2 linked regions of the Arabidopsis thaliana genome follow. The protein of the gene in region 1 interacts with the protein of each later gene in a biochemical or structural test. Each region holds a gene or a part of one and is shown on either strand. Other genes may lie near its edges. The genes, in order: UFD1 and PI4K GAMMA 4.

What was found.
Region 2: of the proteins of UFD1 (region 1) and PI4K GAMMA 4, one has a biochemical effect on the other in vitro, tested with the Arabidopsis thaliana proteins (one study listed by BioGRID).

What each region holds. Positions count from the first base shown.
Region 1 is NC_003071.7:9,105,852-9,111,066, forward strand, and holds UFD1 (ubiquitin fusion degradation 1), read left to right. Parts: upstream 1-1,714; 5' UTR 1,715-1,989; coding exon 1,990-2,005; exon of another isoform or gene 2,006-2,227; coding exon 2,228-2,277; intron 2,278-2,386; coding exon 2,387-2,464; intron 2,465-2,630; coding exon 2,631-2,655; intron 2,656-2,740; coding exon 2,741-2,773; intron 2,774-2,864; coding exon 2,865-2,986; intron 2,987-3,079; coding exon 3,080-3,210; intron 3,211-3,399; coding exon 3,400-3,620; intron 3,621-3,714; coding exon 3,715-3,962; intron 3,963-4,062; coding exon 4,063-4,161; 3' UTR 4,162-4,410; downstream 4,411-5,215. Other genes in the region: AT2G21260 (NAD(P)-linked oxidoreductase superfamily protein), read right to left, coding at 1-72, 153-372, 455-587, 738-855, 940-1,034, 1,325-1,457; SULA (NAD(P)-binding Rossmann-fold superfamily protein), read right to left, coding at 4,651-4,892, 4,979-5,049, 5,139-5,199.
Region 2 is NC_003071.7:19,085,705-19,090,833, reverse strand, and holds PI4K GAMMA 4 (phosphoinositide 4-kinase gamma 4), read left to right. Parts: upstream 1-1,604; 5' UTR 1,605-1,981; exon of another isoform or gene 1,982-2,123; 5' UTR 2,124-2,299; coding exon 2,300-3,619; intron 3,620-3,712; coding exon 3,713-4,093; 3' UTR 4,094-4,342; downstream 4,343-5,129. Other genes in the region: SDH4 (succinate dehydrogenase subunit 4), read left to right, coding at 366-821. UniProt on the Arabidopsis thaliana protein: The phosphorylation of phosphatidylinositol (PI) to PI4P is the first committed step in the generation of phosphatidylinositol 4,5-bisphosphate (PIP2), a precursor of the second messenger inositol 1,4,5-trisphosphate (InsP3).

The sequences.
Region 1 (5,215 bases):
CACCGTGTTCCTCTGAATTCCCCACCTCAGGACAATCTGTGCCACTGTCTGTTTGTACTTCTCGGCCACATCCTATGAATTCAGACAGACAAAAGGTTTAATTATTTAACTGTTTCAGTCCAAACTTTTAAGGTTTAGAGGATGGGGCTTACTTTGAGAACTGGGTCATCCAGACATGACACGGTGCCAAACCATTCGGCATTGGCTGTGGCACCTCCCAGAGGAGTATGAGCAGTGACACAGATACCATGTTTCTGGCAGAATTTGACTAGAGAATCGCGTTGGAAGTAAGGATGTGTCTCGATCTGATTCACAGCAGGTTTGATCTTGGAGTAAGCCAAGCAATCTCTCGTTAGAAAGACATCATAGTTACTGCAAAAAACCTAATGGTCAAATAATTCATATATTGGCGACTAAACAAGAGAACTTGTAATGATAGTGAGAGAAGTTGAACCTGATTCCAATGCTGCGGACTAAACCCATAGAAACAAGCTTTTCCATGTCGTGCCATGTAGTTTCCAGAGAGATTGTTGTATCTATGTCCAATACCCCATCATCCCCCAAAGCACTATCGGTTGTTCCTATTCCTGCACAAGGCTTACATGTTACAGCTTATTACTCTGTGTGCCAATTGCTAGAGACTTGAGAAAACTTAATTTTCCAGCCAGTAACAAGGCTGAAATGCAATGGTCTCTACTCGAAACTGATAATATTCATGAACAAGGCTGAAGCCTAACCCGTGTGTTTTGTAGCTATGGGTATATGAACGAGGAAAAGGTCGAGGTAATCAAGTTGAAGTTTCTTGAGACTGTCTTTGCATGCCTCAATAACATGGCCATGGTCTGAACTCCATAGCTGCAAAACCAAGACAGAGAGCATTCGATCTGAAATGAACTGATATCAAAGGTATGTAGTAGTTTAACTTAAAGCCGTTTGGACCTTAGTCGTAATGAAGAGATCCTCCCTCTTGACAAGACCTGTCGTGAATGCTTCTGTAAGAGCCTCACCAACTTCAGCTTCGTTCTTATAATTAGCTGAACCAAGTAACCCCAAAAGATACTCATAAATCAGGATACAGAACAAAGCAACTCACTCACATGCAAAGAAACAAAAACAATTGTCTGTGATACAGCAAAGACTTAAGATCATTCTACGATTCCAAATTTCCAAATACTTAAAAACCCAAATCTTAAGACATAATTTCCAAGTAAGATTCCAACTTTCAACAAATTAAAACAAAACCTAATATTTTATTCACATATCCTGACAAACCCGAAGCAACAAAGATCAGAAAGAAAAGGTTTTAAGCAGTGTTAAGTTATACCAGCACAGTCGAGATGACGATAACCGATCTTGATGGCATCGATGATAAGGTCTCGAAGCTCTTCTTTCTCCATTCTCCAAACTCCTAAGCCGATGATCGGCATTTTGAAGCCACTGTTCAGTGTAATCTCCATTTCTTCTTCTTGCTTCTCTCCTCAATCCGTGATTGGGTAGATATCTGCTCAGAATTGAGAGTTTCCCAGTATGGTAAGTTGGTAACGCACACGTCAATATAAAGTGGTCATGATTCCTCACTATTCGAGGCCCAATGGGCTAGTACCGTTTTTTGTGAAGCCCAAACTGTTTTACAAAGACATGAATCAATACGCACCGTATGGGTATATATATATACAAGCAACGTTATCACAGGTCCTCAAAGTTTGCATCTTTACTTGGGTTGTGTCTGGAATCAATTACTTCCTAAAGGTAATTTTATTGGTCGGGCAGCTCAATCGGTGGTTTCTGAGTTCTTATTCTTCTCTGATAATCTCAAGACGAGCTTTTAATTTTGTAAAGTTTTTAGCTTTGGTATTGTTTGTATCGATCCCACTCTCAACTTTTGATCGGAATCTTCTGTTCTGGGGATTTCCGGTGAATTGTTTAGGAATAGGTTTCCAAGGATCTTACTTGGGTTTGTTTCAAAAGGTGGGATTTTGCAAGTTGTAGATGGTTCTTCGATTTTGTAGGTTTCTATTCTTCTGCTGAGATTCGAAATTGAGGTCTTAGGTTTTTGATAATAGCTTGTTTAGTTATCTGTTAAAGTCACTAACTTTGATGTTCCTTCCGGTCGGAATTGTTGGCCACAATTGATTATTGAAACCCTTAAATTAAAGAGTGCCCTCTTTTTCTCTTTTATGATTTGGATCTCTTGTAATTGACTTGTGTGAGGTTTCTTTTTCTGTAGGTTGCCATTTGTTAACTTACTCTGTTAGTCTACTACCACCAATAACTATGGTAAGTGTATTCAAAGCTTTCCTTTTTAACCGTTAGTCTTCACTCTAGCTTTTATATCTCGCACCCTTGGTTTGTTTGTCTAAACCTTTGGAATTTAAACTCGATGCAGTTTTTCGATGGATACCATTATCATGGAACAACCTTTGAGCAGAGTTACCGGTGTTATCCGGCATCTTTTATCGACAAGGTTTGATTTCATCTCTCTACTTTTAGTTTAATTCCCTGATAAGTGAATCTGAGAGTGCTCTTTTGTAATGTTAGAATCTTAGTCGTTGTCATGTTCTACTAAGTAAGTTCTATAAGAAAGCTGAGATCTAGTATCTAATTTCTATTTCCTTTTCTCTTCCCTGCAGCCACAACTTGAAAGTGGTGACAAGAGTAAGTCTTCTATCTAGACACCAATGTTTGTTTCCATCTGTATTGTTCAAGCCTGAGGTTTTAATTTGTGTTAATTCTATTTCAGTTATAATGCCACCATCAGCCCTTGATCGTCTAGGTATGCTCCTACTGGTTTTCTCTTTTGGATTTGGTCTAATATTTGTTTAACTTAGAAACATATCAAATCGCTAATATTGGGGACTTTACAGCCTCTTTGCATATTGACTATCCGATGCTGTTTGAGCTTCGTAATGCTGGAATTGAACGTGTTACACACTGTGGAGTCCTTGAGTTCATTGCAGAAGAAGGCATGATTTACATGCCATATTGGGTAAGAATCAGTTTCCTCTTTGTTTGTGAATCGAAGTACTCTGGATCATGTGGACTTACCAGACTGATTGTTTGCTTCTTTGATATAATCCAGATGATGCAGAATCTGCTGCTGCAAGAAGGAGACATTGTGAGAGTTAGAAATGTCACTCTTCCAAAGGGAACTTACGTTAAACTACAGCCCCACACAACAGACTTCCTGGATATATCCAACCCGAAAGCCATGTGAGTCCGACTTATTTCTACCCTCTTGTATTTGAGCCCTCATATACTTTCCCACATCATGTTGTTTATTGCTTAGAGAATGTATTATTATATCTAAGTTCTTCCCGTTTTCTGGCTCGTAGTTGTTTGATGTCACTCTTTTTATCTTGTTCCCAATATTCTTTACTGATAATTGAGTGAACGTTGCAGCTTGGAGACTGCTTTGAGAAATTATTCATGCCTAACTAGTGGGGATAGCATTATGGTTCCATACAACAATAAGAAGTACTTCATAGATATAGTTGAAACAAAGCCTGCTAACGCAATCAGCATCATAGAAACAGACTGTGAGGTTGATTTCGCACCTCCCCTCGATTACAAGGAGCCTGAACGTCCCACAGCACCTTCTGCAGCTAAGGGTCCGGCAAAAGGTATCTATCCATGGACATGAAATCATCAGATGGACTTACTATCAGCTTCAAGTTGTTAGATTCTCATGTGTTCTTTTCTTTCCAAATTTCACAGCTGAGGAGGTTGTGGATGAACCTGAACCAAAGTTCAACCCTTTCACCGGATCTGGAAGACGGTTAGATGGGAGACCTCTTGCCTATGAGCCAGCGCCAGCCTCTAGCTCAAAAGGCAAACAACCTGTTGTCGCTAATGGTAATGGACAGTCATCTGTAGCAAGTAGCTCAGAGAAAGCTACACGAGCTCAGGGAAAGCTTGTATTTGGGGCTAACGGAAACCGTGCTCCAAAAGAAGCTGCTCCGAAAGTACGCATTCAGAGTTTATTGATAATTGACAAAACAAAAACTGTAATGGAATTGAGAGACAAATGCATATGATTGTTCATCTCTTAATTTTTTTTTTCAGGTTGGAGCTGCAAAAGAGACAAAGAAAGAGGAACAAGAGAAGAAAGACGAGCCCAAGTTTCAAGCTTTCTCTGGGAAGAAGTATTCATTGAGGGGTTGATCAACTCACACAATGGGTCTACTCAGTCTATTTATGACCTCTCATGTTGTGTACTAAAAATACAAGGAAAACAAATAAGTGAATAAATCTCTGGCTCCTCTTGACGCGGCTTGTTTTCTTTATCAGATTCAATGCAACTTTCTACAATTCTCTGCTCTTTTATATTCTTACTGTAGGATATAAGATTCTGAGCACCTCACTAACATAATGTGTTCATGAATAGCAAGCCATGCTCTGTAGCTCTTTACCAATGAACCAATGACCAAAGAACATAGATGAGAAAGATGCTATGTCTGAGTTATAATATCCTCAACACATCTGTGATCTCTGGTTTCTGAGATAACACCGAAAACACTTTTTACCATAAATACATTTCTCGAGTTTTACTCAAAAAGAAAGATATAGAGACGAAAAGAAAAGAATATCTTGTTTTTCTGGGGATTTTCTGTGATCAAAACCAATTTTACAAAGATGCTTATGTGTGTCACCTTATTGCATAATGGCTCTGAGTGCATCCTTCACGTATTTATACTTGAATTCAAAACCAAGCTCTTTGGCTCTTACAGGTAATACCTTCTGTCCCTCCAGAACTACAGTGGCACCTTCTCCGAGCAAAGCTTTGAGTGCAAAGTCAGGAACTGGTAGCCACGATGGTCGGCTAAGAACACTGCCTAGCTGCTGGCACATTTCCCCAAGCCTAACCGGATTCGGCGCAGTCCCATTAATAACTCCTGCCAACAACCAGCACCAATAGCATTATGCTTCCCTTGACCTATTCTTAAAAGGTAACATAGAGGACAAGTATGTATGTTGTTACCTTTATAAGATGGATTAGTGAGGGCCTCGTAAATTAAGTTCACCAAGTCATCCACGTGAATCCAAGAGAACCTACACAATGAATTATGGAAATATGATATGATCTTCAAATTCGTAGAGAGACATTCAATAGATAACCAGAAAAAGCATCCAACGTTTACCATTGTTGTCCGGAACCCAGAGGTCCTCCAGCAAACATTTGGAAAAAGGGTATCATCATGGCTACAATGCACAAAAA
Region 2 (5,129 bases), about 10 Mb from region 1:
TTGATTAATTATCTTGTAGAATGTTCATGTACATTTGAATTTTGAAGTGACCAAATCTTATATATTGGTCATGAATATGATATATTGACATTTCAAGAGACTGAGCTAAAAATTACTTAAAAATGAGAATCAATTATTTTTTTTCCATTGGTCCATTATTTTATGCAATGCAGCACATAATAATCTATTTTGGTTTTGGTTTGGGCTTCTGGTAGTTCTGAAAAGCCCAGTATAAAGCCCAACTCCATTAATGCATCTTCACCTCTACGACGAGAATTGTGCTTCCGATTCATTTCACATAGGGTTTGTTTCTCCGATCAGATCCAATTTCAATCCTTCTCCGTCAGATTATCTCCTCGGCCACGATGTCTCTCCGCCGCACTATCCTCGATCTCCACCGTCAAACCCAGAGAGCCACTCTCTCAAAGTCTCTACCTTTCTCGATGAGTCACATCTCCTCCGCATCCGCCACCGCCGCCGTGAGAAACCCACTGGGAAGAGACCTCTCTTCAATCCCCTTCGCACAAGCCCAGAAACTGAAACCAGATTCAACCAATCTCGTCACCGATCGCTCGATTTCGTCTTCAATTGGGCAATCTGAACTCAACAAGGCAGCCAAATTCTCGCGTCAATCGTCTTCTCGAGGTTACACTAATGGCTCTTTCTTACGCAAAATCCCTGTAGTCTTTCACATACATGAAGGAATGGAAGAGATTTTGGCGGATTATGTTCACCAAGAAATGACAAGGAATTTGATTGTGATGTCTTTGGGATTGTTCCAGATTATCGTTCTTAAAGATATTATCTTGTTTCTTCTCTGAAACCAAGTAAACATCTTTTGGGATCTAAGGAACACTCTCGATCATCATCACCTGTTAATGAATGAATAGTGTGGGCTAAAAAAAAGGTCTTTCCTTTTATCTTCTTTGTTTTATGAATAAGAACTTGATGCAATGTTGCATTTTTACCTTCAAGCTTTTGTTGTGTGTTGTTTCAGTTTCTGGTTTCGTGTATTTGATTCTGTAAGGCTTAAAATGGAATTCTAAGCCTGTTAATCTTTTGATTGAATAATGACAACTTTTCTCAGCTTTGAGGATCATTTAATCACTACGTTTGCATTTCGAATTTAGCTTTACTGTAATCAGAAGCACGAGAGACTTACGTGAGTTTTGCAGTAGAAAAGTTGTGGTTTTTACCAAGTAGATGGTTTGATTATATACAACTTTTGAAGAGATTTTCTGGTTTTGGATTTGGTGTGATCATTATAAAGGTGATGGAGACTCTCAAGAAGTCACAAACAGAGAATTGTCGATGTTATGTTTACTTAGATCAAACATGAGATTTTGAAGATATAAAGCTATCAAATTGAATCTTAGTTAGATGTTCATGAACCTGGTTAAGATGCAACTGGACCAACAATATTCATGTTCCATAGCAGAAAGCCTGAAAGGTTGAATAGAACAAAGGGATATGAAACGAGTTAAAGAAGCGAATTAAAAGGCCCATCTTTTTATCTGTAGGCCCATACGAATTACGATTGTACTGGTTCATTGATTCAAATACTAACTCTCTCCTTATCCGAAGTTTTAAAAGCATCCTAATCCAAAACGGTGAAATAATGACGATTAAAACCCCAAAGTCTCTGGCTTGGTTTCCACTCCAAGGGTAAAATACAAAACAAAATCAACGAAACTGCCGTACACCGTTGACAATAAACAAAGGAAAAGTGTACATTAAAGAAGAAGAAGAAGAAGCTTCATTGTACGCGTCACCTACGCGAACGAGGTGGAGACACGTGTCCTTCCTACCACTTTCCTTTTGAAAAACCTCTCTCTCTTTCCTCTAAACTCTTTTGACCCTTGTTTCGCGAGCTGTTTTGTACGCCATTAGATTGAACCCTAAAAACTCTATTATTGGATTGGATCATCATCGTTAAAGCTCCACGCCTTGTCCCAATTTCCTCTTTGGTTCTTTCCTTCTGGTAAGAATCCGCTCTCTTTCTCTCTTTCTTTTTTCTTCATATGGTACGTCATCGGCGACATCAATTGGCTCGATTTGATTCACCTGTAGCTATCAATCAATCCCTGATCTGTTTAGGTTTGATCTCCTCTGTTTTTTCCTAGGGCTTGTTATTGTTGTTTCTCGAAAAAGAAGAAGAAGCGATGGTATTGGGATTTTAGGGATTATTGCGGTTTGTTGTATATATATATATAGAAGCTGAGGGATTTTGTGTTGTGAAGAACATCGAATCCTGTTTTTTTCCGTAAGAAAGTTCTTAGATTTCTCCAAGTGAAAGAAGATGTCATCAGCTGGTGTTGCGTTAAGTCCGGTTCGTAGCGAGCCATTGATTATGCCTCTGGTTCGTGCCAATTCTTGTCTTGATTCTTATCCTGACGACACCATCATGATTTACCTTACACTTCCTGGATCGGTGATACCAATGCGAGTGCTTGAGTCTGATTCCATTGAGTCTGTTAAGCTTCGGATTCAGTCTTACCGCGGCTTTGTTGTGAGGAATCAGAAGCTTGTTTTCGGTGGTCGAGAGCTAGCTAGAAGCAATTCTAATATGCGTGATTATGGTGTTAGTGAAGGCAACATTCTCCACTTGGTTCTTAAGCTCTCTGATCTTCAGGTTCTTGATGTTAAGACTACCTGTGGGAAACACTGCAGGTTTCATGTCGAGAGAGGGAGAAACATTGGGTATGTGAAGAAGCAGATTTCGAAAAAGCGTGGAGACTTTGTTGATCCTGATGAACAGGAGATTCTTTACGAAGGTGAGAAGTTGGAAGACCAGAGTCTTATTAATGACATTTGTAGAAACGATGACTCGGTTTTGCATCTGCTTGTGCGGAGATCTGCTAAAGTTCGAGTTAAGCCGGTGGAGAAGAACTTTGAGTTGTCTATTGTTGCCCCACAAGCAAAAGATAAGAAGGGTCGTGAAGCTAAGAGCATTGTGCCACCAAAAAAGCTTTCTTTGGAGCCGGTAGTTGTTAACTCCAAGGCTAAAGTACCTCTGGTGGTTAAAGATATGATTCAGTCTGCTTCTGATGGACTTAAAAGTGGGAATTCTCCGGTCAGGTCAAGCGAAGGTACGGGAGGAGCTTATTTCATGCAGGGTCCATCTGGCAACAAATTTGTGGGTGTGTTTAAGCCAATAGATGAGGAACCAATGGCTGAGAACAATCCTCAGGGTTTACCACTTTCGCCAAACGGTGAAGGTTTGAAGAAAGGAACAAAGGTTGGAGAAGGTGCATTAAGGGAAGTCGCTGCATACATTTTGGATCATCCCAAAAGTGGAAACAAATCTATGTTTGGTGAAGAGATAGGTTTTGCTGGTGTACCTCCCACAGCTATGATTGAATGTTTGCATCCAGGGTTTAACCATCCCAAAGGAATCAAAACCAAGATTGGATCACTTCAGATGTTTACTGAGAACGATGGCAGCTGTGAAGATATGGGTCCACTTTCATTTCCAGTAGAAGAAGTTCATAAGATTTCTGTGTTGGATATTAGACTGGCCAACGCAGACAGACATGGTGGGAACATTTTGATGACCAAGGACGAAAGCGGGAAGCTCGTTTTGGTTCCTATAGACCATGGATACTGCTTGCCTGAAAGCGTAAGTGCTCTTACTCTTTTTCTATTCTTTCTTGGATTCAGTTTTGCCTATAGTGTTCATTGTCATGAAACTAACTTTTGTTTTCGTCATCAGTTTGAAGATTGCACGTTTGAGTGGCTATATTGGCCACAAGCCCGGAAACCGTACTCTGCAGAGACCCAAGAGTACATAAGATCACTGGACGCAGAGGAAGATATTGATCTACTAAAGTTTCATGGATGGAAAATGCCGGCAGAGACGGCTCAAACGCTCAGAATCTCAACGATGCTACTGAAGAAAGGAGTGGAAAGAGGACTAACAGCATTTGAGATTGGAACCATAATGTGCAGAGAAACACTTAGCAAGAAGTCTCTGGTGGAGGAAATGGTAGAGGAAGCTCAAGAAGCTGTGCTTCCAGGGACGAGCGAAGCTGCATTCCTCGAAGCCCTATCCGATGTGATGGATTACCATCTCGATCACTCTCAGGAACACTAAAAATGGTTCTTGTTTAATTCAAAACTCTGGTATATACTCTTTGGTTTGCTTTTTATAAACCTGTTGGCTTTTGTATTTTTAAAACTTTTTCATTTCTGTCATTCTTTGGACATGTTCAAGGTGTTTTGTTAACTTCACTCAGACATATTTCATGGTAATGACAATTTAAGTGTTTACAATAGTTTTCTCTCTTTGTAAGATTTAGCTCTTCTCTACGATATACATGTCTCTCTGTTAATAAGCAATGAATGACGTCAAATCTACTGTGAAACTCCAAAACTGTCAAAATCTTACAGGAACTTCAAAAGGCAAATCGATGAGAACGAAACTCAAAGATGAGCAGAAGCAATTCACAATCGTTACTTTCGTATTGAATCTGCTCTTCCTGTAGCTCTTTTTGATGTCTCTGTTTTCTCAAGTCTTTCATGTCATTGAGCTTCGCTTTGAATTCCTTAAGGTACCAAGGTCCGATCATCCTCTTCCTATTCGAAAAGATACACATAAGCCATGCTTTGCATCGCAGGCGATTCCAAAGACCCGGTACAGCTTCCATGACAGAATCCAAAGCTTCACCAAGCCTTTCAGTTGTGCTTACCACGTTCAAAACGCAAGACCATCGCAGGGGCCAAGGTTTTCGTTTAAATATTAACAAGGTTTGTTTGTTAGCGAGCATCATCTAAAGAGAACAAATACAATCTTTCTATAGATCCTCCGACTATAATGTTCTTAGTCTAACCAACAAAATAAATATTGTTATCTTAAAGAAAGTGTGTGCTTAGGGTTCTCATGATTTGAATTATAACATGTCTCCATTCAATTTCTTAAAAATGTATCTTGACTAAAGAGAACAAGTACGACCTTTCCATAGATTCATCAGACTACAATATTCTATTATTCCTCATCTAACCAACAAAATGAATATTGTTATTTTTATTTAAAGACGAAAGATAGAGATCTCTTAAGTTTGAACTATATATATATTAAGTGAAATAATAACAAGTCTTCTTGTCCCTCCCTTAGTACAAAAAACCACCAA